Linked DNA regions of Struthio camelus. The protein of the gene in region 4 purifies or fractionates together with the protein of the main gene of each other region. This does not show direct contact. Links are inferred from orthologs where the notes say so. Each region holds a gene or a part of one and is shown on either strand. Other genes may lie near its edges.

Region 1 (7,153 bases), on a different chromosome or scaffold from region 4:
GAAAGGCCAGTATGGTTTATAATGTTGAATTCACTAGTACTAGTAAGGTTGTGCCCTGGAAAAGCTTAATTTTGATGTTTAATTAACATACCTGTTTAGAAGAAAAAGGGTGAGATGGAAGAATCCTCAGTCTCTCCTACTTCAACCTTTTAATTTATTAACTGTCTATAACAATAGGAGTTTAAAAATGCAGTAAAGGCCACTCCAGATGAACTAGCCCAAAATCTTGTCTCCGAGGACAAAATAGTCAAAGGACACTCACCTTGCCCATCCATTGGGGCAATACTTTTTCATCTCTACTACGCCCAAGCTATTCTTACAAACACCCTATGAAACAAATTCTGCAGCTTAATCAATTGTACAACTGTTTCACTATTCTACCAATTCTTAGCTAACATCTAACTTTAAAAATGTTGCATTTAAAGTTAGCTTCATTTCCTGCTCTCTGCAGCGAACGTGAAGAACTAATGAAGAGTTCATTGTCCTCATTACAGATAATAAACGATTTGCCTCTCTTTGTCCTATTCTTCGGTTTTCTCTTTTACTAATGGAAAACCCCAAAGCTTGATACTTTCTTTATATAGCTTATTGCTTTCCTCTAAACTCTAAATTCTGAATAACTGAGACAAAACTTTCAGTACAAGCTGCTAATCTTAGAAGGATTGTATTTTACATACAGTGCTTTAAGGCCCAATCAAAACAAGCTGCTCATTGAATTGTTATATATCATTGTTCACATTCTTTTTCAGCAATACTAACTACTGAATGAATGAAACTGCAATTTTGAATCATGACTTACAGTGCTTTAACTATTACATTTCCTTATTGACCCCATCCCCTCAAAATCAAAAAGCTATTACCAAAACATCTCTGAATAACATATCTGGACTAAATATATTCTTCAACTTGTGAAATCTTAAATACATAGCTCTAAGTACTACCCTACGAATGAACATGTACACACATTTTTGTTTCTAGATTTACTAGGGGAAGAGTCAAAGTTATTAAGACTTTATCATAGCTTTTTCAGCCTTAAAACATCCAATTAATATTAGAATATGAGATTAATATTAGACAACAATCACAGCTAAATATACTTAATACAAATATACTAAATATACTTAATTGGGGAAATAAGCTTCCAAACGAGTATATTTGATTTTTACATATGTTAAAATGTTTAATGTACTAAAAATGTAGCTCAAGAAACCTACTGTTTTTAGTCGTTATGTAAACAGTCATAAAGTTATTTTCATTTTGAATAATATTAACCATTTGAGAAATCTTTCAGTACTTGGAAAGTACCCAACAGACTCATAAAAGAAAAATCTCTTAAAATAAAACATTTCAAGTCCAAGCAGCCTTGTACTACCACTGGTCATTTTCAACATCACCATGTGAATTGATTTCCTTTTTCTAGTTGCTTATACTTCTCAGTTTAAGAGCAGCCTGTTCTTATGCCAAAAAGTGAACGTATACTCGGCAGTACTTGAATAATGCATCAGAATATATGTATGGCTCTGACACATGCTGCAGTATCAACACTGTTAAATATAGTCTTTTATAGAACTGGAACAGTGAGTGATGACAGCTGAAATGAGGTGGGCAAGTTCTACTTTTGTGTATTTGTAACTTAATTTTCTGTAAGTTTGTGTTTTAGCCTTTGTATTTAGGTGATCATTTCACAAGGGAAAAGATGAAGAGGTTGAGCGGTGGAAAAAACATCAGTTCCTTTTTCTGTTGTCTTAAAAAAAAAAAAATTGCTTCCTAGCCTCAAAGAACTCAATCACAGAAGCTCAATTAACCAAGCACATCTAGAAAGAGATGCTCGTTTAACCTGCCTAATGCTTTTCAACCACGGATTATTCTGTTGGCAATCCGCATGGCATACTAAGAAATATTTTGTCACTGGTCAAAAAAACATATATTTTTAGATGCTTGCTGCAGAACACGCGTTCCTAGGGGCCTGGCGGCACCTTCGGGGAAGGCTTCTTTTATGCAGTTAACACGGCCACAGTGAAAATGAAGTTTCCAATTGAGGCCTACCGCAGCCGAGCACGGGCTTCACCGCGACACCCCTACGCTATAGATATGATTCTTGGCAACTCGGAAGGTGACGCCAGAGCCGTTTCCTCCCTTTAGCCTGGCGGACGGCAGAACCGCCCGGCAGCGGAGCGCTCCTCCCGCCGCCTTTCTCCCCGCGAGGCCGAGCAGGCGCCCCGCGGCCCCCGGGCCCCTCATTGTCCTCGGCCGCCATCCGGCTCCGGCACCGCCGCTCCCTGCTCTTCCCTCCCCCGCCGCTCGGCGCCGCCAAGGAGCCGACCTCGGCGCCTGCCCCCGGCCGGGAGGGAGGTGCTGCCCCCTCCTTCCCCCCGCCCTGTCATCCGCCTCCCACGGAGCACGCAGGAGGCCGGGCCGCGGCCAGCGCGGAGGGAAGGAGGTCGGTCCCTCCGCCAGTCCGGCGGCACCGGGGGCGGAGGGAGCCGCCCGCGTCCATCCATTCGGGTCCCCCGGCCCTTCCCTCACCAGGTGTCGCCCTTGCGGAGGGCGGTTTTGAGCAGCGCCGCGATGTCCGTGCGCTGGGTCTCCAGATCCGCCGCGCCTCCCTCCGCCATCTTCTCCCCCCGGCAGCAGCAGCAGCAGCGGCGGCGGCGGCAGCGGCAGCAGCAGGGGCAGGAGCGGGCCGCGCTGCATGCTGGGAGTGACGCCGACCAGGGAGACGCCCTCGCCCCCCCCTCCCTTCCCACAATCCGCAGGGCGGGGAGCCGAACCCGCCGCAGCCGCTGCTGCCGCGGCCTTTGCTGCCCCCCTAGCGGCCGGGAGGTCTCTCATGTCACCGCGCGGCAAGCAGCGCGCATGCGCGCAGCCTCCCCCCCCCCTCTCTCTCTCTGTCTCTCTCCCTCCCCCCCCCGCCGCAGGGTGGCAGGGGGCGTGGGGAGCCAGGGCGCTCGGCGGGACGGGGCCGCTGCCGGCTCCCGCCGCTTCTGTCCTCTCAGGCAGGTCCTCCTCGGAGCGGAGGGGAGGGGAGCCCGGGGCCGTGGGACGATGACTCAGCACGGCTATAGCCTGACGGGAGGGGGGAGGGGAACGACCCCGACCGAAAGCCTGGCTCCCTGCCTGGCGTTGAGCCCTGCCCGCTCGCCCGGCCCCGCCCCCTCCGCCCGGCTCCCCCGCAGGCCCCACCCCCTCCGCCCTGTACCCCCGGGCCCCGCCCCCTCCGCCCGGCTCCCCCGCAGGCCCCGCCCCCTCCGCCCGGCTCCCCCGCAGGCCCCGCCCCCTCCGCCCGGTTCCCCCGCGGGCCCCGCCCCCTCCGCCCGGTTCCCCGCAGGCCCCGCCCCCTCCGCTCGGCTCTCCCGCAGGCCCCGCCCCTCGGCGCTGCCCCGCGGGGCTTGCGCGGGCGCGGGGCGTCCGCTTGGTGCCGCAGTGGTGCTGGTGCAGCAGCGTGCTGGTTGTGGCGTCCGCGTCCTTCCCGTTCCCGTTTCAGCCTTGGGAGACCATATTTCAAAATGGGTCTGAAGGAGGGTTTTGGTGGAGACCATACTTTTGGAAGGAAGAACTAGTGTGACGCTTCCTGTTAGCGTTTTAATTTAAACAGAGATATAATGAGATGTTGGACACCTAGCTAGCAAATGAGTGATTTGGATTCCGCCAATGATACAGTCTCTATTATTGTGCAAACACTGTTGGGAGTGTAAATATGCTGTGTGACATGCATGAATATTCCCAAACCTGTACAGAAACCAAGGGATAATTTACTGGGTCTGTTTCCGTCTTGCCAAAACCTGATGCTTGTACAAGCAGCGCAACGGGACATACGATATCCGACCAAAAGCTGCGTGAGTCCATGGGTTACATCACATTAGCAGAATTCTCCCCTTTCTACCTTCCTACTTGTATACAGATTTCACCAAATCAAAATTGTATAGAAGACTGTGCTGGGGGGGTGGCAAGTGCTGATTGCAAACAGCGGAAAACAAAATTTGATTTTGTAGATCTATCTGGTATATCTATAAAACATGCAATTGTATGTCCAGCCCCTTCCTCCACCCAAATCATTACACTGTGCTGAATTGTATGACTAACACTAGAAAGGTATCATAGGCTGCCACTCATATTATAAGCTATTAGGCATTATTAGCTATTAGCTAATTGTCACTAATGAGCTAATAGCATGTAGTTGTTATAAATAGCACTGAAGATTATTCTTTAGATACAGATACATCAAAAAAGAGAATAGAATTAAGGCTATTAAATGCAGCCAGGAGAGTACCAAACTAAGTAAATTGCCTGCATTATCAGCAAAGACGATGATGTTGAAATAAAGGCAAAGCCAGGATTTGTATTTGGAAAGGGCACATGGAAGTCATGTCCAAAGTAGAAGAAGAGCTCCTAAGAGCTTGGAGGGGCCAGCCGATCACATTCATAGCTTCTGTAAGCATGGAATATGCAATCCCAGGCTGAGGGGCAAGCGAGTCAAAGATATCTGTTATGTGGAGAGTTGTATTATATGGAGAACTGTGGATCTGCTGGCTATGCTTAATGAGACGGAAGAGTGAACCGGGCAATGACAAGAAGGTTTCCAGCCATTGAATGAATAAATGTCAGGGTTAGAACCTCACAACGTGGGAGGAAGAATTTGTGAGCCCCCTCCCCCCCCCTCGCCCCCCATCCAGTCTTGACAACTAAAACCAGTATTATAAACAGTGAAAATCATCCGTATGTACCAATGTTAAATTTTTGCAAAAATTGCATTTTCTTGGAAAATTGGAGGAAAACATTTCTTGATTCACTATGCTGGAAAACAGCTTTATTGTTCAGTAGTCTGTAATAAGACCAAGAGCCACTTGGCTCTTGGAGCCACGTGTGCCTCTACTTTTTGGGTTTCATGATTGCAGTTACTAGGTGAAAGATCTCCTGTTCCTGAATTCAGTTTGTTCATGGTTCAGAAACAGATACTAGACAGATACTAGGTATTAAAGGAACTAGACAGAAAGGAGTATAATGTGCTATCTGAATCAGAGCTTTGCTTAAGGATTGTAAAGGAGAGACAAGAATAACTAAGTCTCCTTCTGGGATTGTCAGTGCTTCACAAGAAGTAGCTATGCCTTTCACACTAAAACAGCATATAATCTTCCTAAGCTTCAGGAAACCTTTCCGCTATGCAAAATTCTTGAAAACTGCCAGAGAGTGTTAAATCTGTATTTTTAGTAAAGCTTTCTGAGTTTCCAAGTACATCTACCCTAGAGAGTGCCTGGGGATCTTTGCATTTTAAACCACTGGATACACTGAAACAGCACTGATACTGATGAACTGCCTCCTGCCTTCTCTGATGAAAAACAAGCTTTTGTGATATAGATTTACATCTTACTAATTTTGATATAATTGAATTCAGGATACTGTTAATCTAGGCGAGAAACGTGGCTGACTTTCCAGTAATCATTGGGCCTGCATTGTTACCTGATTTCATTGCTATCTGATGAATACTTGTAAACATGTTGCATTGTTTTTCTAAACATTGATCCTAAAAAAAAGGGAAACAATTAATCCAATATGTAGCTGCTCAGACATTCGGCAAACGGGCTTCAGATAACAAACCATGTAAGCTGAGGAGTCTATTGATTCCCAATACAGCACAAAGTTTACGCTCTCCGTTCTTGTCTTCAAGTCAGTTAGTGGACTCGGATAAAGAAACTTACGGCTTCTTCTTTTGGGATATGAGCATCTCTGCTTCTCACTGGGAAAGCTTGTGTACGCAGTAGATTCTGTGGAAGTGACCGACAACTGTAAGTCTCACCTCGGAGGTACTGTAGACCAATTTACTTCTCCACTTTTTTCTTTTCTTCCTAAACCTCCTACAGCGTAGTTGTGAGTTTATGGAGGAGAAAAATAGGGTTTCAGGTTCCCTTCCCCAAAGGCCTGGCAAACACCCCGGCCCTATGGTAGGGTTACAGCTAGCGTGGCTCTGTGAATTTCCTATTCAGTTTGAAGCTGAGTCAGACATGAAGCCCGACATACCAGCATGAATACAGATGGATACATGTTTTACATATAGCATTCACACATATAGGCAAGAAAACACTGGTAATTTCACTTTTGGGTGACAAATCTGATGGAAACTCTTTTAAAGCTAATCTTACTAGCTTAATGTGTTTTTACATGTTTAAAGGGGAGTGAAAGATTATCAATTATCAGTTCCCACCGTTGCTCTTTTTGTTCCATGTCTTACTTTTTTGGGATGTATGGGAGTTGCCTTAAAATAATGATAAAATTATAAGCTTCTTTGAAGTAGTTCAATAACAAAACAAGAAAGCAGAAATCACAAGAGACTGGAGTTATATAATGGGAAGATACAGCAGGGCACTTACAAGGCAAACTTAGACATGGGAACAAAAAATCAGTACTTATGAAACCTGCGGAAATCCACGGTAGCATGGATGGACCGATGGTAAGAAGCAGATGAGAATATGCTTTTTTTTTTTTTAAGGAATAAAGAAGAGTGGGATAAATTTGAAAGACAGAATGTGGGGAAATAATTTGTAATTAAGATACCCATTTCTGTCCAGACAGTAAAACCAAGACTGCATTCTAGTTTTTGAATAGTATTTATCCTAATCCACTCTATGCTTGGTTAATGCTTTCCTAATTCACATAGGCTGAATGCAACAATGCTAAATCCTTGTATGAGTTAGGTGGAATTGCAATTTCTAGCTGTTATTGCAATAGCACACTATCTTTCCTTGAGACAAGAAAATGCCCCCAGATTTTAAAATTTGATAGTTCTTTATTTAGTTGATTTACTCAAACTATTACTTTCTTACCACGTTTTCAGTAGCTATTATTACCAAAAGGATTTTTTCAAATGAGAGAACAAGGGTTTAGACTGATGGAGATGTGACTATTATTTTTTTAATTCATGTAACATGGAGTATTCAGTCTTATCTTCATGCACTTAATCTAGTACCATAGCATCCTTAGAAGAATTAAATTGGAAAGTTCGTAGATGAGAATATAGGGGAATGAAGATAAAGAAAAGTCCAGTGGGACCAACTAAGGGTGTCCCAGAAGTTTTTCTGATATAATGACAGTAGAAGAAACACTAGTATTTTCCCATTATTCTAGTTCAGAATTTTTAAATAGTGGGAAGTATTCTTTT
Region 2 (7,983 bases), on a different chromosome or scaffold from region 4:
AGAGCCTGTATGGCTCTGTTATGTAGCATAGGCACTTGTATGGCCCAGCTGCATAGGATAGGGACTGCATGGCACAGCCACATAGGACAGGGCCCATATGGCAAAGCTACGTAGGACAGGGTCAGTAGGCACAGCTATGTAGGATGGGGCACGACTACATAGGGACTACAGGGACTGCATGGCCCAGCTACCTAGGACAGTGACCGCACAGCGCAGCTACATAGGACAGGGACCACACGGCACAGCTACGTAGGACAAGGACCATATGGCCCCACTATGTAGGACAGGGACTGCATGGCCCAGCTACGTAGGACAGAGACCATATGGCACAGCTACATAGCACAGGGACCACACGGCACAGCTACATAGGACAAGGACCATATGGCCCCACTATGTAGGACAGGGACTGCATGGCCCAGCTACGTAGGACAGAGACCATATGGCACAGCTACATAGCACAGGGACCACACGGCACAGCTACATAGGACAAGGACCGTATGGCCCAGCTATGTAGGACAAGGACTGTATGGCCCAGCTACGTAGGACAGGGACCATACGGAACAGCTACATAGGACAAGGACCGTACGGCCCAGCTACATAGGACAGGGACCATACGGAACAGCTACATAGGACAAGGACCGTACGGCCCAGCTACATAGGACAGGGACCATACGGAACAGCTACATAGGACAAGGACCGTACGGCCCAGCTACATAGGACAGGGACCATACGGAACAGCTACATAGGACAAGGACCGTACGGCCCAGCTACATAGGACAGGGACTGTATGGCCCAGCTATGTAGGACAGGGACCACACGGCACAGCTACGTAGGACAAGGACCATATGGCCCAGCTATGTACGACAGGGACCATATGGCACAGCTACGTAGGACAAGGATCGTATGGCCCAGCTACGTAGGACAGGGACCATATGGCACAGCTACATAGGACAAGGACCGTATGGCCCAGCTACATAGGACAGTGACCATGAGCACAGCTACATAGGACAGGGACCACACGGCACAGCTACGTAGGACAGGGACCGTATGGCCCAGCTACGTAGGACAAGGACTGTATGGCCCTGCTACGTAGGACAGGGACCACACAGCACAGCTACATAGGACAGGGACCACATGGCCCAGCTACATAGGACAGGGACTGCATGGCCCAGCTACGTAGGACAGGGACTGCATGGCCCAGCTACGTAGGACAGGGACTGCATGGCCCAGCTACATAGGACAAGGACTGTATGGCCCAGCTACATAGGACAAGGACCACACAGCCCAGCTACGTAGGACAGGAACTGCATGGCCCAGCTACGTAGGACAAGGATCATATGGCACAGATACATAGGACAGGGACCGTATGGCCCAGCTATGTAGGACAGGGACCACACAGCACAGCTACATAGGACAGGGACCACACGGCACAGCTACGTAGGACAAGGACTGTATGGCCCAGCTATGTAGGACAGGGACTACACGGCACAGATACGTAGGACAAGGACCGTATGGCCCAGCTATGTACGACAAGGACCGTATGGCCCAGCTATGTAGGACAGGGACCACACGGCACAGCTACGTAGGACAAGGACTGTATGGCCCTGCTAGGTAGGACAGGGACCATATGGCACAGCCACGTAGGACAAGGACTTTACAGCAGAACTACATAGGATGGGGTTGCATGGCACAGCTACGTATGGTGGGGCCCGTGCGGCACAGCTACGTGGGACAGGGGCCGTATGGCCCTGCTATGGGCCGACAATTGGCCCTTCCTGGGGCTTGCAGCCGGCAGGGACAGCGGGCTGAGCAGGGCAGCGGGGATGTCACAGCCGGGGCCCGACCCCAGCCCGGCGCCCGGCCCCCCGAGGGAGCTCGCCGTGCCGGGGACGCTGCTCCCGCCGGCCCCGGCTGCTGCTCCCTTCCCACCGCCGGCCCCGCACTCCCTGCCCGCCGGCGGGGGCACTGCCACCCCGTCCCCCGCCCCGCGCCGCCACCGGGGTCGTGGGACCGGGGCGCACCGCGGGGGGCTTTGGCTCTGCCCCAGCCGCTTGCTAAGAGGGCGGAAAAGCCCCCAGCCCTACGGCCGCCTGCAACCACGGGGGTTTCCAGATCACTCCTCCTCCCTCGGCTCCCGCTTTCGGCGCCCGCCTTGCGGTGCCGGGCAGGTCACGAAGGCGCCCCGGTGCCTCCGCGCTCGGCGAGGCGGCTGCGGCGGCGGCGGCACCTCGACGCCCGCCGACGCAGCCCGCGCCTGGGCGCCGTCTCCCCTCCCGGGTCTCCCGGGGCCGGCAGCTCCCCCGCGGCAGGGCCAGCACGAATTTGCAGCCGGAGCGGGGTTTATTTTTCCTAGCGTGACGAAACGCAGCTGGGACGTGGCCCGAGCGTCGCCGTTCGCCGGCGAGGCGGAGCGGCGAGGGCGGCTTCCCGGGTTGCCATTCCCCGTTTCGCCGCGGCCCTGCGGTGGGGACAGGGGGCCGGGGGGGCCGGGGGGCACCGCGCTGGCCGCTTTCTGCCTGCCTCCCTCCTATTCCCGGCGTGGTACAGCGCCGTTTCCGCCGCGCGACTCCGGCTCTCGGCGGCACAGATTTCCCGAGCAGTCCCCGAAACGCCGGGACCTCGCGGAGGCCCTGCTCGCCCGCGACCTCGCACCCACCGCGGGGTGGGGTGGGGTGGGGTGGGGTGGGGGGGTATGGGCCGAATCGGCCCGGTGGCGGCGGGGGGGGTGCGAGGGGGCATGGGGGGGTTGGCCGGGAGCGCCCCCAGCCAAGCCACCCCGGCGGCAGCACCCCAGGGAAGCGGGGTGGGGGGTTCCCGAGGACACACTGGGGCAGGCGACGGCGGGCGGCAGCACCCCGGCCCGGCCCGCGGCAGCACTCACCGGCGCGGCCGGGCGCGCAGCGCAGCAGCAGCAGCAGCAGCAGCGGCGGCAGCAGCGGCAGCAGCGGCGGCGGCGGCAGCGGCGGCGGCGGCGGCAGCGGGGCGACGCGGCGCCTCGGGGCGCCCATGCTGCCTGCCCGGGCGCTGCGCTGCCCTTAGCCCGTGTCCGGAGGGGCCGAGGGCTGGCCGGCGGGGCTCGGCGGCGGGCCGGGGAGGCGCAGGCGGAGGCAGCCGGGCAGCTTTCGCCGCTCCAGCCTCGACGGCGCCCGGTGGCGGCGGTGGCGGGCCGGGGCCGGCGGTGGGGCCGGGCCGCGCCGGGGAAGCCGCGGCAGCGCCCGAGTGTGCGAGCCCGGCGCCGCGCTCGGGCTGATGACCTGCGGCGGCAGGAAATCAACTCCCTTTAGAGGAGGGTCCGCCGAGCCGAGCGCCTGCCAAGAGCGGGGAGGAAATGCCGCTTCGCAGCGGCCTGGAGCCTTGCCGGGAGGTCGGGGAGGGCCGGCGGGCAGCCGAGGGCTGCGCTGCCCCCGGGGGTGCTGCCCCGCCGGATGCGCTGGCTGTCTCCTATGGATTTTGGGGTGGGAGGGGGTGTGTTGCCCGATGGGACCCCCCTCCCCCCAACCCCAGCCGGGGGGGGGCCCAAGCGCCGTGCCTCAGTTTCCCCATACTTGCGGGTGCTGGTGCGGGGCAGCGCTGAGCGGCTGCGAGGACCCCGGGGCACCCGGCGAGACCCCCCCGGGGACCTCCGAGCGCGGCCGGCTCTGCAGACGGGCAGGGGCACCCACCTGCCTGGCAGGATGCTCCCCCCCCCCCCCCCCAAAATGCAGCCCCACATGCAGCTCAGGGCCGGCCTGGGGGCTCGGGCAGGATGGGGACTGTCACCACCCCACTCCCCATGCGCCTGGCGAGGAGGGGGACGGTGCTGGGCAGCCAGGCTTGAGCCCCTCCGGAGCTGCCCCCCGACGAGGGACCCGGTGCAGCCCCTGCTTCGCTCCATCCCCAGCCGCCCCTCTGGGAGATGGACGGCAAGGCCTGTCCCGGCCTGGCGGGATGTCCCCTGGGACGTGTCCCCGACGGTGAGGTGAGCAGGCAGATGTCTCCCGTGACAGAGCACTGCCATCTCCTGGGGACCGCGGGGACGGGTGCTCAGCCGGGGCCGGTGACCAGCCGAAGGCTGCTGGGGCCGGGGTGCCTGCTGCCCCCTCTCCCGGCCCCAGCGCCCGGCAGCTCCATCCCCGCTCGCTCACTTGGGAAACTGAGGCACGCTCGCGCCTGGCCCGAGGCCACAAAAACGGGATGGAGGCGCAAGGGAGAGGGGTCGCTCCCCATGGCCCAGCCTGCGGTGGGCCCCCCCTCAAACCCCCTTGCTCGTGGTGGCCCTGTGGCCGTCCCCGTTTCGAGCCAGGCTCCTTCGCCCCCCCGGCCGCTGTACGAGCCTGACGGGGCTCGTTTTTAACTTTATGACTTTTATTTTTTTTTGCCCCCCCACTCGTTTCCTTCCTCGACACCGTCTCAGCAGCTTCGGCTGCCTCCAAACAGCCTCCTTTCTCCTGACCTTCGCTTTGCTCGTCGCCTGATTTACAGCAGCCCGAAAGCGAGCGGTGCCAGGGGCAGGCCGAGGTCACGGCTCTGCCGCCTCCTGCCCTCGCCGTAACCTGGCAGGCAGCAGCCCCGCGCCGCGTCCGGGAAAACCGCCTGCCGGCAGAGCATCCGGGCAAACCCCCTGGCCCCGGAGCCCTGCTGCAGCCGCGCCACCGGCATTGCACCCTGATGCGGCCGACAGCCCGCGACCGAAACGCCCCCTCCGTCTCCCACGTCGGCCCCCCCCGAACTCTCTCCGTGGGTCAGGGCACCCAGAGCACAGCCCCGGTTCCCCTAAAAAGCTCCCGACAGCACGATGCAAGGGAGTGTCGAGGCCGAGGCGCGGGCTGGAGCCAGCAGTGTTGAAAGTGGTGGAAATCCCCGTCCCCGTCCCCGGGAGCAGCGGGGTGGAGGGGGGGCTGGCACACGCTGGGGCACCCGGGACGCCCGGCCACAGCCCGTGGCATTGGCCTGAACCTGGCTCCCTCAGCCCCGGCAGCGGGACGGGTCTCGGCGAGGGGGTTTGGCTGCAAGGAGGCGGCCGCGGGCCCCCCGCAGCCCCGGGGCTCGGCCGATGCAGCCGGGATGCTCCCCTCCCTTCCTCCGAGCGCAGCATCCCGCTCCCCCCGGCCGCGATGCCACCGGGCGGGATAAACAGCCCGTTTCCTGCCCTTAATCAGCCTCAGAAAGGGGTGTGCGGAGGGAAGGGGGGGGGATAAAAAAATTTCTGGAAAGAAAAACTCATTTCCTGCGGCAGAAGAAAAAAGATAAAGTCTGGGCTCATTAAAGTGAACTTTACTGGGGAGAGACGGGAAAGAGCCAAACACAATGTCCTTGAAATTTCCTCCGCGCGGCTCTGTCCACGAAAACAGGATAAAGCCGCTTCCGCTGTCTCTGCCGCGGAGCCGGAGTGCGTGCGCGTGTGGGGCGGCGGGCCGGGCCGGCGCGGCGAGCCTGGCCCCGGGGCTCGCCTACAGGGCGTCCAGGTGGGAGCAGACCTGCTGGAAAACCTCCTCCACGGTGCCCTCGGCGTTGAGCTGCGCGAGCGGGACAGCAGTGTCAGGCTCGGGGACGCCTCGGCGCCCGGCCCCCCGGGAGCCTCCCACGGAGGAGGTGGCTCTTTTGGGGACACATTTCAGCTTAGGGACAGCTAGGGCATAGTTAAGGCAACGGGGCGGCACGGACATCTCCCGAAGGATGTCTTGGCGCCGGGATGCTGCTGGCCCTGGTCAAGGGGCACATGGCAGTGGGGGACCACCTAAAGGAGGTGGGGAGCCCAGCTGTGGGGTGACGAGGGGTCCCGTCCCCGCCACGGCACCCCGGGCCCCGCTCACCTGGCGGACGATGCCCCTGCTCTTGTAGAAGGCGATGACGGGTTCCGTGGCCTTGTAGTACGTCTCCAGGCGCTTCTTGATGGTCTCCTCATTGTCATCCACCCGGCCGCTGGTCTCGCCCCGCTTCAGCAACCGCTTGACCATCGTCTCCTTCCCCGCGTCCACGTAGAGCAGCAGCGTCGGGGCGGCGATCTACGGGCGGGGAGGACGCAGCTGTCACCAGGGGAGGCGGCTGGGATGTGGGCATGGATGTCCCCAGCCTGTCCTGCATCTCCCTCCGCGCGGGTCTGCGGTGGTGTCTCCGCAAGCAGGGCCCGTCCCCAGCCCCTCACCTTCTTCTCGAACTCCTGTCCTTGCTTCACCTCGCGGGGGTAGCCGTCGATCAGGAAGCCCTTGGACACATCCGCTTTGGCCACCATGGCGTCCCGCAGCATGTCCAGCACCGTCTCCTGGGAGCCGGGGAGGAGGGGACAAGAGGTGAGGGGGTGATGTATCCGCTCCCCATCACCCGGCACCCCCTGATCCCGGCTGCTAGCCCAGGGCTCTGGGGTGGCGGGGGACCAAGGCCTCCCCTGGACACATGCTGACCATCACCGGCATCACCACGGTCCCCCCTGACCAGCACTCCCACCACCAGTGCCCGCCCCTGCGGTTCGGGGTGTCCCGGCGGGCTCCTCCGGCGCGCAGGCTCACCAGGGGCACCAGCTCGCCTTTCTCCATGATGGCCTTCAGCTTCTTGCCCCGCTCGGAGCCGGAGCTGACCTCAGCGCGCAGCAGGTCTCCGGTGGAGAGGTGGGTGTATCCATACTTCTGCACGATCTTCTCGCACTGGGTCCCCTTCCCTGAGCCGGGGCCGCCTGCAAGTCACAGCAGGGCCCCGTTCACATCCCAGCCCAGGGGGAAAGAGCTGGGGGGGGGGCCCAAAAAGCACTGCAGACCCACAGGGAGCATCTGGCAGCCAGTGAGATGAGGTCCCCAAGCCCCACACTGGCACCCGGAGTGTCCCCACCCCATGGCGTCCCAGCCGCTGTCACCCCGAGGAGCCGAGCTGGGAGTGCTGCAGCTGCCCCGGAGGCAGCCGGTGGTTTCTACAGGTCCCAAATTTTCAAGCACGTCCTGCAAAGCCGGCTGCTCCCCTGGGCCCCGAAATTGCCCCGGCGAGGCGCGGGAGAATGGGGCTCTGCAGTCGGCCTCGCTCCCCGCAGCGGCCGACTTACTTACCCACCACGAAGATGATTTTGTGATGCTTGAGTTTTTCTGGGGGAAAAGAAAATAGAAAAAACCAGACTCAGCCAAGCAGAAGCCTGGACGGCGGCGAGTGAGCTGCTGAACCCCCCGGCAGGCGCCCCCCGGCATGGTGGGGCCGGCCCCAACCCGCCGTGGGAGAAAGCGCGGCGGGAAGCACCCGCGCGCCCCTCTCGTCCCCGTCACCTCGGCCAGCCTGAGCAGCCGAGCTGCCCAAGCACGAGCACGCGGCCCCCATGGCACCCGGCCTGCGGCCCCGGCCCCGGCGGCGCTCCCGGCGGCCGAGCCGAGGTGGAATCCCGCCGGCGCCGGGGCGCGCGGTGCCCTGGAGATGGTTGCCGGTGGCGGCTTCGTGCCAAGGGCTTTCCGAGGCCGCCCTGCCCGGGGCTGCGGCCCGCTCGGCTCGGCACGGCACGGCACGAGCTGGCACGCTGCCTCCAGCGCCTCCCTGATCCCTGAGTGTCCTAAAAATTGGCCTGCGGGCCTGGTGGCGCATACGTGGATGGGGACGGGATGGGGAGCACTAACAGCCCTGCCCCTGCTGCTGGAGCACCCCACTGGCACAGCATCCCACTGCCAGAGCAGCCCACCACCAGAGCAGCCCACTGCTGGAGTCCCCCACCGCTGGAGCACCACACCGCCAGAGCACCTCAATGCTGGAACACCCCGCCGCCAGAACACCCCACCGCCGGAACACCCCACTGCCGGAACATCCCACCGCCGGAACACCCCACCGCCAGAACACCCCACCGCCGGAACATCCCACCGCCGGAACACCCCACCGCCGGAACACCCCACCGCCGGAACATCCCACCGCCGGAACACCCCACCGCCGGAGCAGCCCACCAATGGAGCACCACTGGAGCACCCCACCACCACAGCATCCCACCACTGGAGCAGCCCACTGCCGGAGTCCCCAACCACTGGAGTTCTCCACCGCCGGCGT
Region 3 (7,788 bases), on a different chromosome or scaffold from region 4:
TTATTTCCTCAGTTTCTAATGCTTTGTCTGTCTAATACACGAAAACCTAAAAGACGACATTCACGCAACCAAAAATTTGCATGGTACAGTGGGGAACGTTTCGCTGAACCCAAGTTTTAAGTTGTCTTTCCCCTTCTAGTTTTGAACATGCTCCCACTGTGTCACATAATTTTGATTTGACTCTGACTGATTGGTAATAATCATCTCTATGTTTTACTTCAACCTTTACTTTAAATAATGAAAAGGCAGCCTGAAGTTGGAGACATGCTTGACTTATAACTGTCCTGCAGTGCTACTTCCTGTATTATAGTCATGCACATGATAGCACAAACAGAATATGGTAGATTCATGATATTACCCAGCAGAGCTCAGCCAAACCAAAACGAAAGTGCACTTATGGATCTTAAATTTATTAGCAAGGACTCAGGGCCTGCAAGTATTCCAGAACTTCAATATCTATTAATAAACCAGTGGCAGAGTGGAACTGCTATCTGCTGACAAGACTGCTTTGATAATACAACAGCAAAGCTATGATTATACAAGCACTCATTTGAGTTTCCAGTATAGATCCGTTGACACTCCATTTTGAAATATCTAAGTGTCATAAAATATATTAAAATTTGGCCATTTTCAGTCCTTGCAGCCACTCAAAAATAAAATTTCTGGGTCTGCCGTAAGAGCAGAGCAAGTCCTCATTTACAACGTCTGGTAGGCCTGCAAAAGGCACGGCACGTAAGAGGTTAACACCCACAGTCAAGAAAAGCAAGGTACAGCACGGTTTCCAGTTCACCTGTTTTATTGCAAAGTAGATCTTATTTCCTCCTCCGTGCAATGACGTTTCGATTGCGTTCAGTACAATCATATCGCCATTGCCTGGTAAGAATTTCTGGTAGGGCAGGTACACAGAGCAAAATGGTGCAGCAGCTGCCAAATTTTCTCATGAAGTAAAACTTTATCGACAGCTCTCCAGCTTCTATTGCATAAGAGCGGCCATCTCCAGCAGAGAAGCTACTTTGAGGATAAAGCAACAATCTAATTAAAAAAACACAAATTATGGCTTGGGCACCAACTACACGTACGCTTTTGTGCATACGTTCCTGTCTCTGCGGGTGCTTGGTGGCCATGCAGGACACAGTCAAGTTCTGCACTGTGAAACCTTAGAACCTAAACCTTAGAATGATAAACTCTAGTTACACCAATTACACACTATGTGGCTCCACATTTCCTACAAGTAAAACGGCAATATAATCCTTGCTAACAGCCTTCCCAAGAGTGTTGTGAGGATTAAAAATTTGTATAGTGTTTCATTTGTTCAAAGTGCAATGTGTAACATATTATATGTGCTACTCACTTTTATGAGACATCCCTGGGCACCTTTTTATGATCTCTAAATTCCTATGAACTTTATTTTCTTCTTCAGGTAAAGCAAGCCATTTCTCCGAAAGTATGTGATGTGATCCTTGTGTATTGTTAAATGTTATACAAACGTCGGTATACCTCAAATGCAAAAATACTTTCAGTTCTGGAGCACCATAAAATTCTCTTGCTTCAAAGCAGTTAAATGCATACAGGGAAGAGGAACAGTTGGACCTACAGAGTTAAAAACCATCATGAATGCCATGTTTACACAACGGGGAAAAGGCACTCCTTTGGAAGAGAGTTTATTTTCTGAGGATTTCCCCTGTCTGCTGTGGCTAAAAACTGAAGTTACCACGACGGCATCTGAATAAAGCAGAAAGTACTCCAGCGTTCTACAGAAATACTACAAAGTCTATGTTCTGTGAACTCTTCAAGGCCGTGTGAGCACAACACAATAATTATAAACAATACAATACGTTGCAAACTGCTTCAATAATGTGGTTGTTGTACATCTAAATGCTACTGCACAAAGCTAAATTCACTTCCCCAGCAATGTTTTTTAAAAAGTGGAGGTTAATTATTGCTGAGGGAGACAAAGATGTTAACCTAAGAACAAAAGCACAAAGACTGTTTCAGCAGTCTTGGATGTTCGTTATGTCCACACTCTACAAGTCGAGCTCATCAAATTCAGTATGGGCCTGTGGGAAACAACTTTACTGCAGTGCAAACCTTGCTGTTGAGTTTTTCCTCACCTGGTAAGAATACCTTGTGAGGTAGACAAAGTTAATAAATACCGTGATGTATAGGTACAGAGCCCTTTAACAAAGCTGCAAGATACGCTCTGACCACCTCCATCCTACCCTCACAGGAAATCCAGACAGCCAAGAAGTACATTAGAAATGGTGTACTTTACTCATTCAACGCTAGCCTCAAAGAAACTTTCCACATAAGAGGAAGGAATACTTTCTTCAGACTCTGCTACACGACCACTGAATGCCACTTCCTGTGTAATATGTGCAGGTCACAAATGAAACGTTACAGACCCACCACTGCCACATCGCTAGCTTATATTTAAAAAAAAAAAAAAGCTATATGTCCTTTCACCTAACATAGCCTTAGATGCAGGAAAATAATTAACCGCAGTATGCTGGTTTTAGATCTATGACCGTTCCCGGTGCATGGCAGAAGGAAAAAGAAGGGGAGTACAAAAAGAGTGATTCAAAAGGGAAAAAAAAAAATCAGAATTAAACCCCCCCCCCCCCCGGTGACAACGGCGTTTGCTCCCATATTAAAGCCTCCTGAGTAAGTAAAACCCCACGTTACACCGCCTCGCCCCCGTGTCCCGCGTGGCCGAACTAAGGCTCCGCGGCACCTCCGCCCCTGGCAGCCCCTGCAGCATCGCCAGGAGAAGGAAAAACACCGGGCAGGTGGCTCGGTGGGTGGGTGAGCGGGGAGGCGCCGCGGCCGCCGGGCCGGGCCGGGCCGGGCCTCGCTCACTCACCTCTTCCACTTCGATCTCTTTGTAGTCGATTTCTTCGAAGTTGAGGACGGGCGGGGTTTCGATCATGTCCGCGGAGGCGGCAGAAGACATCCCTCCTGGCTCGGCCGCGGCAGGCCGGGCGCAGGCCGGCGGGCGCCGCGGCAGGGCAGGGCCGCGCCGCGGGGCTACACGGGGCGCCGCCGCGCCGGCGCCTCCCGCCCGCCCGCCCGCTGCTGGCCGAGGGCCGGGCCGGGCCGGGCCGGGCCGAGGCGCCTCCTGGGCCGCCGAGCGGGGCGAGGCCGCATCCGCGGCGGCCGCGGGCCTCAGCGGCGGCGGGCGGCGGCGGCCCCGCCGGCGGCAGCGGCGGCCCCGCTCCGCATCCCGCGCCGGCTGCTCTAGGCCGCGGCCTCTGCGAGTCGCCCGGGCTGCGCGTCCCCGGCGGCGGCGGCGGCGGCGGCGGCGGGCGGGGGTGGGGGAGCCGCTCAGCGCCGCGCCGCGGCCGACATCAGCGCCGCTTCCTGCTGCTGCTGCCGGCGGGCCGGGCCGGGCCGGGGCCGGGCCGGGGCGGGGCGGCGCTGCGGCAGCGGCTGCTACTCAGGCCGCCGCGGCGAGGGCCGTGGCCCGGCGGCAGCGACACCCACCTCGGCGCCGCTCCGCCCCGCCGAGGGCAGCAGCGCGCAGCGAGGCGGCCGCTTCGTCTTGCGGCCCTCGGCCGGCGGCGGAGCCGGGCCTCGGTCTTTGCCCCGCAGCGGTTGTTTTGGGAGCGGACGGGCCACCTTAAGGCCCTTCCCTTCCCTACCCCCCAGTGCCCGTGTCTGCTTGTGCGTTTGGCTTGGGCGACGCTTTCTGGGTCTTGGTGCTAAATGGGCCGGGGCTGGGTGTTTGGGGACAACCCGTGGTGCGAAGTCAGTGCTGGGGGGCAGTGGAGAGAGCCGCTGCGTTGCACTGAAACAGCTGCGCCGTCAGGCTTCCGTCCGATATGTTTAGCCCCAGTACTATATATAAAATGTTATGTTATTATAAAATACTATTAATAGTGTGTAATCTTAGTAGATCTGGTAAGCTTTCCCAAATCTTCCTGCACTAAAATGCTAATGAATGTTCATACCAAGTCTGGTAAACGAGAGAGAGCTGCTTTACGGAGCTGGCCTGAAGAAGTTGCGTCAGCAATGAACCAGGAGAAAGATCGAGGAGGAATACGGGCAGCAGCCTCGCGTCGTGGTGGTTCGGGTGTTGCTAGAAAAGCTAAACTAAAAGCCCTTTTCGCCAGAGCTACTGCTTTTTTTTTTTTTTTTTTTTTGTGATAGCTTGTCCTTTTGGGTTGTCTGCTGCCCGCTTGCCTTTTTCTTGCATCCTAAGTAATTTGACCAGGATTTCCAAACGTCTAGCAATCCAGAAATCCCAGACAAACAGTCACGGTGCATATGCCAGCCGACTCTGCATCGCATGCAAGATGAGACTAGTCTCCAGAACAGGTTGGATCAGCGTGATTACGTTGTGCAACTGATCTGTGTGTGCATGGGAGCAGACTCGTGTCCTGAACGTACTGAATTCCTCTTGCTTTTTGATTTTTCGTATGTTGTTCAGTGTAGAAAGATTTAAAGAGGCTTCTGTTAGAAATGGGAAAGTTCCGCGTAACCCAAAATCTCCTTAATACATGCTTGCTCCAGGAATGCGACTATCCAGGGGCCTTAGTTTCTAAGAGGTTGCATTTAATTTAGATATTGATGTTGGCCATGGCTTTCGCCCAAATACGTAGTCTCTGGATTATTCAGAATGAACATTTGCTATACCCAAGTGTACAGTTGAATTTCGTGGCCGTGAAAGTCACCGTTAGTGCACATCGTGGCCATACCATGACATGGAATCACAAGTGGCCAGGTTTGTACCTGGACCTGAGGACTTCAGGGTATTTCCTTCTTAAAGGAAAAGCACATCACTGTTGTATAATCTGCTGCCACTGTTTCAGGTGCTGAGGAAACAATATATTTGTTTTTAGATCACGAATATAGATTTGTGAGGTACTGGGAAACTGTAGGTCAGATTGAAAACAGATTCCTAACATTTAGACCTAGTTAGTTCCTAATGTTAGTTCCTAATTAGTTCCTAACATTTTCAGGCTTTTTTTTAGATTTAGGCACGTATGTTATATACTGGGGAAGGTGAAGAACGTTAATGTTTTTTGGAAAGATGGCTAGTAGTAGTGGTACTTTTGGTGGCAGGTGGTGTTCTCTAGTAAAATTAACTGAACATTTGGCTTTATGTTATGTTTCACAGGCCTCTTGAAGACATATATCAAGCAAGTGGCGGTTGCTGTCTTCTATATTTTAGTGGTGCTATTAACAGTGGTGCTGTTACCTGTATTTTGTTGTTGTTGATAAGAATTAAGAGCACAGAGGAGAGCATTCCAATTATAGTTGTTTGTAAGGTTCATTTCCTTTCAGGAATTGATGTAGAAATGTATCTCAAAAATAATGAGTTCTCTCTCTAGCGAAAGCAAAATCATTGCCATTATCAAAATGTCACTGTTGTGAAGATCAGATAGGGTTTCAAGGATGTTGCCGTTTTTATGGTTACTTCTTTTTCTTTTCTGACTGACACAATCTTAATTAGCTGTGTGTTGGGTCTGAGGACTAGGTATAATTTGAACGCTCCCAAAATAGAACATTTTAAATATGTATTCAAAAAACACATTTGAGAGGTAAAGGAAAACAAAAACACTCCAACTGCATCCCTTACAATCTGTGTTTATGTGGGAGAAAAGCTGCTCTTGTGTTTGGAAGAAAAACCTAGAACTTAGGAAGTCCAGATTCTATTTCTCAACTGCATATCACTAACTGAAAATAAATTACATTACAAGGAAGTTAAGGACTAAAAGATTCTGTGAAGTCTCAGGATACTATGGTCAGAGCAGAAGTAAATGCTCAAGACTGAAATAACTGCAGCAGATATTTTGACAGCTCCTGTCATCGTGGACCAGGTTTAAGAACTATATTTTTCAGAAGATATGCAGTAGGTCTCCTAAAAAATATAAAGTAAGTCTACATGGCCAGCTTAATGGACCTGAGGCTTAGCCTTAACATCTGAGTATCTTATCTAAAATTTAAACAAAGTTTACAGAATCTTGCAGCTTAGTGTTCGGTCACATTTTCATGAGGAGAAACACATCTGTATTTTCATGGCTACCCGCTGTCAGGTTTCATGTTCCAGCTCTGTTAAAATTTCCACGTTATAGATTTTTTTTTTTTTTTAAGAAGAGCAAACTAGCATGTTTTGTGCTAACGTAATTTAGCAAAACAGCTAAGTAATTTCTGCTTTCAAAAGATTTCACCTTGTGTCAGACATGTAGCGTACACAATTTTTGTTCAGTTGGTTAAAACATCTAAGTTTAGGCAACAGAAAAATGATCCTGGAACGCAGTAGTGGAAGGTGTTGGGTGGTCTCAACAGCGGGCATACCTGTAATGAGATAGGTTCCGTTTTGATAACATTTTTAACTTCAGGCACAGGAATAGTTCATGTTTCTGGCAAGACTGACTTTATTTTCTTTCTCAAATATTGTCATGTAAATGTTAGAGATAAATGAAACTGAAATATGGAAGCTATGTCATTTCAGTTCATGGGAATCAAGTGTGATTAAAGACCTTTACAACAGCTGTAGATGTGATTGTGAGTTATTAGCCTTGTCTCACCTGTGTGTTGGAAAGTGTCAGGATGCACGCTATACAAAGAAAATCTGCAGGAGTTAACGGGGGGGGGGGGAATTAGCCTGGATGACTGGAGTGACAAGGACTGGTGGATGAACTGTGTTGTGCATTGCCTTGTGAGTATGAGGCCACAGCATGTCTCTGGTGATGACAAATAAATGGCACACCATAAAGCATGTGTGCCGTACAAAACCAATCGGGAGAGACCTGAAAGAAGCACACTTCTTGTTCCAGTCCAGGTGCAGTGTAAGGATCTCACGAGGACAGATCACTCTGATGACACTAAAAGTTCTTCTGTTGTTCAGCATGGTGGTGTTCTTAGCTAATCCACTCTCCTCATGTAGTCTCTTCAGCTCTTATGTTAGGATTTCTCAGGAGCAGGTTGCAACATTTTGTGCGTGTCAAATTTGACTATGAATCTTAATCGTATCACCAATTCTGCCTTGCTTTACTGCATTGCAAACTGTTGCAAAGCAGCACAGAGGTATTTTGTGCTGAATCCATGGAGATAGCATCCACAATACGCTTCATATTTTCTTATTCCTTCTTTTCCTTTCTGAGGAAGCTTCCCCACACTCTGTAAAATTTTCTAAAAAGCTGTGAGTTTCTTCAAATTCCTTCAGTTGAGGTATGCTTATCGTTTACCACAAAATGTAACTATTGAAAAACACCAAAGCCTTGCAAAGTAAATGCATGGACTGCTTTGCTAAATACCAAATATTACTGTATGCAAGGAACTATATGCACTTAAGAGGAAGCTCTTTCGTGTGAAAGTTACTGGCACTCAGATGGTCACAGGTTTTTCTGAACCTTGCTTGGTCTCTTACTCTGAGGCATGTTAGATCTCTCAAAGTTTTCCAGCAGCTTAAAACCCCAAGAGAGTACAGCCATTGTGCAGGAAGGGCAAAGTAAAGGTGAAAGATGATCTAGATGCGGTCGCAAAACTAAATTCAGAATTTTCCCCAGTTGCAGCTGGCAACAGGCAGCAACTGGAATGGGCTGACTGACTGAGTGGTTAATGGGAAAAAGATATGCTAACTGATTAAAGAATTTAACACACACAGACAGAAGGGAGAGCCAGACAGCAGCAGACTAGCTGATTGTCACCTGAGAGTTTGGAAAGACGTGATTTGCGAATGTTCCAGCAGGAAATATTTTAAAGAAAGGCAAAAATGTTATCAGGTAACTCTAAAAGAGCAAAAATATTTAAGAAAGGTGCAAAGTGATTGAGGCATCTACATAC
Region 4 (7,222 bases):
ACATTTGGAACGATCCTAGCTTAGAAAAAGTAATGTTATGTTCTTTGTAGTGTAGGTGCCGAATGGCACTATCTATTTTTGCAACTCAGAATTGTGCTCATGCCTCTACAGCAAAATACAATGTTAAAAATTTGTTTCTGGTGCTTTTCATGGAAGAGTATGTTTTAGAAAAACAAAAAAAAAGTTAGAATTAGAAACCTAGATCTTCCCCTTTGTTGTAATTTCACCATCTTTGTGAAAAAAGTAAAATGAAGAACTCTGTACTTTTAAATTGACTTAAGCATACAAATCAGGTTCACTCATTATCATAAATAAGAATGAATTGTGTGAACATATAGGATTTCCAGAGGGTGACCTCCCAGAATTTTGGCAAGATGAAAGACTATTTATGGTTCACAACAGTTAACCCCCCAACCCCTACACACACACGCGCAAAAATCACACTCTGCCTTAAAAGTTAGGGCTGGCTGACAGTAGTTCAACTAGCTGCTGTGATCTGCGACATTTCTGACCTCCACATTAGTGATATCATGAGAGGATTCATTCCTGCACTAATGCTAGCATCAGAAATTATCAGAAAACGCCCAACTTCTGTCAACCCACGATAAGAACACTAAGTAACAGTACACAAAGGATGTGTTGCACCACTACTTTGTCAACTTGGACCACAACGTTCAGGGAAAATAATCCCATTCCCAATTTCAGAGAACTTGTCTATGAGCTAAGGACTAAGGATCCCAGACTATAATAATGGGGATATTAAGAAGGCAGCGGGGGGGGGGGGGGGAAGAGCACCACACCCACACACCACTTCCATCCTTTAGCTTCTCTATGGAAAATTATTTTAGCCTTGGAAATCTGGTCTTGTTCCCAAATAAAACTCTTAGACACTGCTTTCATAACTGAAATTAAATGAAAATTCTCGATTGTTCAAAGGCATTAAACAGGAAAAGAAAGGCTCAGAGCTCAAATCAAGGTAAAGTTTCCCTCAATATCTAAATTTAATATTGAAAGCTTTAAATTATTGAAGGCTGATGCATCTTTTCAAGTGTATACACAGTAATTTAAGCTTACTTCACTGCTTCCATTTCAAAAATTCTCCATCTTCTTCAATAAGGATATGGGCGATTAATATGGTATTTTAGTATTGCAAGTTACATTTTGCCTTAGGTAACATTTTCTTTGCAGCACAATTACTAACTTAAAGTGAAACGTAAGCAGCATAGTAAGAACCAGATTGAGGCATGTCTTAAAGCTATAGTTGAAAAAAGTCAGAGTACATCTCCTTCTCCTCTTTAAAACCCAGAGCAATAGGCATGCCACCTATAGAAGAATTTGTAAGAGTGGCACTTGCTATAAAAAACAGCTTTTGTACATCTATTGGCATCATCTAATATATACAGAAGATGTTGAAACCTAAATCAGTTAAAGTAAGGCATTATGTATCATTTAAGTCTCATTACCACATATGACCCTACTGCTAAGTGAAGAACAAAATATGCTTTTTTTTAAAAAAATCACTTTAGTTTTTCATTCCTGAGTGTCATTAACAACCTCCGTTTCATGCGTTACCTATCCAACGGTACAGCTCTGATATCATCTCTCTCTTACAAGAGAGCAATAGGTGTGGAGTGGCCAGAGGGCCATAAGTATTTTATGCACGATACTCACTTAAGACCATTTCCCCGTGTTCTGGGCCTCTCGGAGCACAGCGGTCAGCTGTTCAACTACAACACCGAGATCACCTACCCAAATCGTCACCAGTTCTCAGAACTGGCACAGCGGCAGCACGCCACAAGGCGCGTTAGCTTCCCTAAAGCATCCAGCCCGGGACGTGGGAGAGCCTTTCCCCTGCCCTGCGCGGAGCGTTCAACACGTAGCTAGCTGCCCGCACTGCTCTCTCGGCGCCCTCCCCGCCGTACCGCCTGCGAGCGCCCGCTAACACGCCGCGAGGAGCCCGCCAGGCCCAGCAGCTTTCCCCTCGCCCGCTGAGGGAGCCACAGGCAGACAGAAGTTTTCCGAAGGAGACACCATCCCCAAGCGGTTAGTTTGTACAGTCTGCTCCGCTCCAGCCACAAAACAGCAGTGACCTCAAGGGAGGGAGGGGTGCGCTCCGCGCTACCTTGGCGGGCCACAGCGGCTCGCCCCCTGGGGGGGAAGGGGCGGCCGGGGTCCGCCACAGGGAGCGGAGCCAGCGCGGAAGCCGGCCGGGGTGGGGGGTGAGGGGGCAGGCTGTCCCGGGGAGACGCCGCTCGGGGCGCTGCTCTCCGCGGGGCAAGGCAGGCGCCGGCGCGGGGCAGAGGCTGCTCTCCCGAGGCCGCGGCGGGTGCCTCGTCCGTCCCTCGCCGCCCCCTCAGCGCGAACCGCCGCCGCCTCTCCTCGCCCCGCCGCATCACGTCTGCCCCGAGCCGCGGCCCCGCCCTCCCTCGGAGCCGCCGCTGCCCTCGGCCAACAAAGGGACGCGCCGTCCCCGGGCTCTGCCCGGCTCGGACACCGGGCGGGGTGGGGGGGGGGGGTGCAGAGGGGGCGACTCCGCCCCAACCGGCCCCTCCGCCATATTGTTGAAAGGAACCGACGGGGACCCGCAGACCACCGCCGCTCTCCGCCCCGCCGGCGCCACCTCCCGCGCTTCCCCCCTCCTCGGCCTCCCCGCGCGCACACATGCACTCACCGGCCGCCGCGGGGAAGAGCAGCGCGGCCACCAGGCACCGCAGGGCCCAGGGCCGCCGAGTGGCCGTTAACGCCATGGTCCGGTCCCGAACCCGCAGAGCGAGGGCGCGCGCGCGCGCGCACCCGCGCGCCAGGATTCCGCCTCGCGACTCCCGCCCCGCCCCGCCCCCCGCGACAGAAACGGAGAGAAGCGCGCGCACCGCCTGCACCTCCCCGCCTGGCCGCGGCCGCTCGTGCAACCGACACAGGGGCTCCGCCTGATTGGCCGCTCCCGACAGCCCCGCCCCGCCCCGCCCCGCCGGCAGCTGCCGGGCGCCCGAACAACAACAGCAGCCGAGGAGCGCGAGGGGCGGGGCGAGGGGCGGGGCCTGGGGCATTCCCCCCCCCTCTCCCCCGCGGCGGCCTGTGCGACACAGCGAGGATCCTGGCGTGGGGGAGGCCGGCGCCCCCCAGGCCCCACGGTTACCTTCACACATTCCCCCCCCTCCCCCGCACCTTTTTGGGTTTCGGGCGTGTGGCAGGGCCAGAGGACGGGCGCTCTGGCCCCCTGCCGCGGCCGGGTGGCCCACCCGCCCCGGGGTCCCCGCAGCCCCCTGCCTCCTTTACCAGGGCCTCAGCCAGAGGCCTGCGGGGCCCGCCTGCGCTTCGGGACTGCTTTTGTTGCTGGGCTTCCTTGCGCCGTGGCCCTCCAGTCGTAGGGCAGGTGACATGTCGCCCACAGGTGTTTTTTTTTTTTTTTTTCCACGTGTTACCTGCAAGTCACCCTTTTTGACGCATTTTCAGCAAGTTTTCGCAAGCTTCGCGCGCCGCCCCAGGAGTTCAGGCCTGGCCTCCACCGGACTGCGGCTTCCCAGTCCGCAGCGCCCAGGGCGGCTGCCACCGTCCTCCCCGGCGCTGCCTTTCGCCTCCTTGTCACGCTGATTTACCGGCTGTTTTATCTGCGGTTGTTTAGCTGACACAACCTTTATAAAAAGTCTCATTTCTCTTACATTCTCTCATCTGCATAAGGATCCTGTTAATATAACGGTTCAAAATGAGGTAAATATTTATTAATTCATTCTTTTCCACCTTCTCTCCTAGCAACCATCAGCATCGTATATGAACAGCCTCTAGTGACATTTTTTTTTTTTGCTGAGCAAAATACTATTTTACTTTAAATATCCTTAGCGACAGTTAGTATTAGACCAAACATCTGGATTTGATACAGATTCATGCCATAATTAAATATTGAAGTTGGCAATACCAAGTGAACACATTCTTAGTTATTCAGGTATAGAAATACGTAAAGGCCTAATCCTCAAGTGAAATGATATTCTAGCATCAGTAAGACAGTAAGATAGCATCCTGAACGATGTTTGGCTGCCAGACAAAGAAAGAATAAAGTAACTCGCAGGTGACAGCTCACCAGCCAAGATGGTTTCAAGTCTCTTGCAAGCAGTGAAAAGTGCCAGCACAAACTAAATACTTTTACCAGGCATCACCATTCTTTCAGAACAGAAGATCCCTATTGAAGAGACACCTACAGTTCTGCCATCCCTTATCCCGATCCCTGGGTGCATATCTGTGATCTTGGGAGCCAGGGTAAACTCAGGGCAAAAACAGCAACTGCAAAGGTCCTCGAAGAGCTTCTCGGGGCTCTTCTGGGAATCATGCCTTGCCTCACCTGCCGTACTTCTGCTCCATGCAGGACTGGAGGACTCTGTCTTTATGAGGGTCACGTGAGGGGTGCTTAGCATTGCCTTCTGTGTGGCGTAGTAGATTATGTTTGATAATCTGTTTGATAGTGAATCTGTCTTCTTTGCTATATAAGACAGAGCAGTTGGATGAAGAAAAAAAATGAAATACAAATGACAGCCTGAGAAGATTTAAGTCGTCAGCTTTTTCCCCCTGTATCTGCAAACAGTCGAATGCCGATCCACAGAAAATCAGGAGAACTTATGAACATACCTGGTTACATTCATCCTTAAATATGCTAGTTAGGCAGATGAGGCTAGCTCGTGTTTTAGATATTCACATAGCATACTCCTTGCGAAAATGGAACAATGAAAAAGTTTCAATCCAAAGGACAAAATAGTGAAGGCTGTGCTTGGGTGTCTCTTAAGACACTGGCTTACAGCAGATCTGAGGCAAAACTGACATTATGCTACAGAACTCAGATCCTCACCATGGCACCCTGCAAGTTGTGCTCAGCTCGGTTCCAACCTCAGACATTGCCATTACTAGCTTCTCATCAGCTTGAGCCTTTAATTAGGAAAAAAGGAGCTCCCAACATTCTGCTTACGATTAATGTACTTGGAGTTTCCTGCTCCCCTAGTGCTGGCCTTAACAATTGGACTTCCCAAATTCATTGCTTACCCCAGTTCAGTTTTCCTACAGACTGAAAAAGCTCATTCCCAAATTGAGAGGATAATTTAACACCCTTTCAACGTAAGGAAATCTGACACAGCAAACGGCCTCCAAGATATGCCCTTGTGTAAAATGATATTTTATTCAAGAAGAAAATAGCTCTTCTGCAATTTCATATTTTTCAAAACGACGGTAACTGCTTGGCCTTTTTCTGCCAAAATAACATGAAAAAGATTGATTTCACTGAACAAATTTTTCAAGTCTGATAGAAAGCAACTCCTCACCTTTGTGTATTTATGATACTTTAACCAGGTACAGTAAGTGTTTGTGCTGCAGCATTGTCTTGCAAGGGAATCCTTCAGACCACTTCTTGTCTACTTTAGCCCATCTTTGTTCTCCAGGTGCTTCCTGAGAATGGAAACAACGTTGTAATCAGTGGAAAGATATTAAGAAGAACAAGCAAGAAGCAGTCATATCACCTCGCCTTATTTATGTCATAATTCATTGAATTTCCCCCATTCTGGTTATAGAAAGGCGCAAAAAATTTCATCATTTGCTAATGCATAGAACACAATGCAAAAAAACATAGAAAATCCAAATTATCTGGCCTTATGAGATCTGTTTAGATCATTAAAAAAGACTGAGTCTATTTAAAAAAATATTTACTTTTTTGATTAGGTAGAGCGGGCTATTTTACAGGGAATATCTGCAGTTTAAACACAGGTTCATTACTAATTTCTGAACTGGAATATGGCATTTAGAGGCATTATATAAAATATGCAGCTCCCACAGGGAGGGAGATGAAAGAATTGAGGTTTGCTTAGTGCTAGCTTTATTTCTTGTAATAATTATTGTCAGTTTTTGAGTGGGTTTTATGATTGCTTTCTAGAAGATGGAAAGCAAAACACTGCAGACTGCATGGAGGGTTCAAACAAAACTCTGTAGTGCAAGAAAAACACCTACTAAGAAACTACATGGATCATTAAAGTATAACCAATTTTGCAAAGGGACAAATGATGAGATAGATAATTATACAAAACATAAAATTTTCTCATAAATTTTTAGTCTTCAATTAAGATCAAGGATATGAAATTCCTTGTTTTATATGCTGATTTACTTAAGAACACAGGCACTAATAAATAAAATCTCTCTTAGCTTTTAAAGTGAAAGATTATGGCCGTAAGGTAGGAAATATTATTAATGATGATCAGTAAAAGCTCTATTTGTGTTTCAATGTAAGAGATATTTAGGCTAATAAAGCAAAGAATTCTGAAAACATCTGAACAGTAATATAATGAAACTATCTTTCAGCGATAAATATGCACAGTTAGTCCTAGTGCAAGAGGAAGTACAAATATTGCAAAGCTGCATTTGTAGAATTCTTATCACAGTTTTCTCTCCGTGATAATAAGTGAAATTTTATGTGCTTTTTTAACTACTAGTCAGTGTATCATGATATTTACAAATTATGTTCATCAGGGAACTCGGCAAGAGAAAAATACCAAATGTGTCATTTACCAAACTAACAGAATACGTCATTTTCAAAAATAAAAATTTCAGGTGGTGCTTGATTTTGCTGATCAGTTTTACTCAAGTCAGGACAGAAGGGACTAAGGTGTTCATTATCATGCCTTTTCTACGAGCACACAAATCAGGAAGTTTAGCACAGATCTGTGATGCTACTAAATCATAAAAAGGCAAAAGAAAATAATTTGTTGAAGTCACTGGTTTATAAAATATCTAGAATTATTCAATTCATATCATTTATAAGCAGTGCCTGATTTACCTTATCAGTGCCTCAAAAACAAAATACAGGAGGATCTTAATTAACAGAAGGTCAGTTAAACCTTAAGTCATATGAAACCTTTTTCCTTTTAATTTATAGTCTGTGAAACACATCCGACAGAGGTATCTCAGAGGTATTAATTGGGCAGCCCAGCAATACGCCACCTCGCTGCGCAGCTGTTTGGTCCCTGCAGCTAACAAGCTCCTTATTCTACTGCTAAGAGGTTTGTGGATATATTAGTGTTGTAAGTTCTTAGTCTGCAATTAAGCAGATTGCTGTAATGACAGTTTTGCTCTGCAGCTATTAAACCTCTCAAACATAATCTTTCTTTCTAGCTTCTAGAGTCCATTAGCCTCAAAGCTTGTTTCCTACACATACAGCATTCAACCTCATTTGAAATCAGATATGAATGGATTTAAA

What was found.
Region 1: the proteins of TGFBR1 (region 4) and USP15 purify together in Homo sapiens (affinity purification with western blotting; 4 studies listed by BioGRID). This does not show direct contact. The link is inferred for Struthio camelus from reciprocal best matches to the Homo sapiens genes TGFBR1 and USP15.
Region 2: the proteins of TGFBR1 (region 4) and ENG purify together in Homo sapiens (affinity purification with western blotting; 5 studies listed by BioGRID and IntAct, with this or other methods). This does not show direct contact. The link is inferred for Struthio camelus from reciprocal best matches to the Homo sapiens genes TGFBR1 and ENG.
Region 3: the proteins of TGFBR1 (region 4) and MAP3K7 purify together in Homo sapiens (affinity purification with western blotting; 3 studies listed by BioGRID). This does not show direct contact. The link is inferred for Struthio camelus from reciprocal best matches to the Homo sapiens genes TGFBR1 and MAP3K7.

The regions. Positions count from the first base shown.
Region 1 is NC_090942.1:37,752,148-37,759,300, reverse strand, and holds the start of USP15 (ubiquitin carboxyl-terminal hydrolase 15), read right to left. Parts: upstream 3,015-7,153; 5' UTR 2,616-3,014; coding exon 2,527-2,615; intron 1-2,526. UniProt on the Homo sapiens protein: Hydrolase that removes conjugated ubiquitin from target proteins and regulates various pathways such as the TGF-beta receptor signaling, NF-kappa-B and RNF41/NRDP1-PRKN pathways.
Region 2 is NC_090961.1:7,687,874-7,695,856, forward strand, and holds the start of ENG (endoglin), read right to left. Parts: upstream 3,009-7,983; coding exon 2,882-3,008; intron 1-2,881. Other genes in the region: AK1 (adenylate kinase isoenzyme 1), read right to left, coding at 5,430-5,495, 5,793-5,984, 6,125-6,241, 6,486-6,649, 7,014-7,049. UniProt on the Homo sapiens protein: Vascular endothelium glycoprotein that plays an important role in the regulation of angiogenesis. Required for normal structure and integrity of adult vasculature. Regulates the migration of vascular endothelial cells.
Region 3 is NC_090944.1:50,781,597-50,789,384, forward strand, and holds the start of MAP3K7 (mitogen-activated protein kinase kinase kinase 7), read right to left. Parts: upstream 3,018-7,788; 5' UTR 2,951-3,017; coding exon 2,861-2,950; intron 1-2,860. UniProt on the Homo sapiens protein: Serine/threonine kinase which acts as an essential component of the MAP kinase signal transduction pathway. Plays an important role in the cascades of cellular responses evoked by changes in the environment.
Region 4 is NC_090943.1:78,044,845-78,052,066, forward strand, and holds the start of TGFBR1 (TGF-beta receptor type-1), read right to left. Parts: upstream 3,009-7,222; 5' UTR 2,748-3,008; coding exon 2,672-2,747; intron 2,044-2,671; exon of another isoform or gene 1,511-2,043; intron 1-1,510. UniProt on the Homo sapiens protein: Transmembrane serine/threonine kinase forming with the TGF-beta type II serine/threonine kinase receptor, TGFBR2, the non-promiscuous receptor for the TGF-beta cytokines TGFB1, TGFB2 and TGFB3.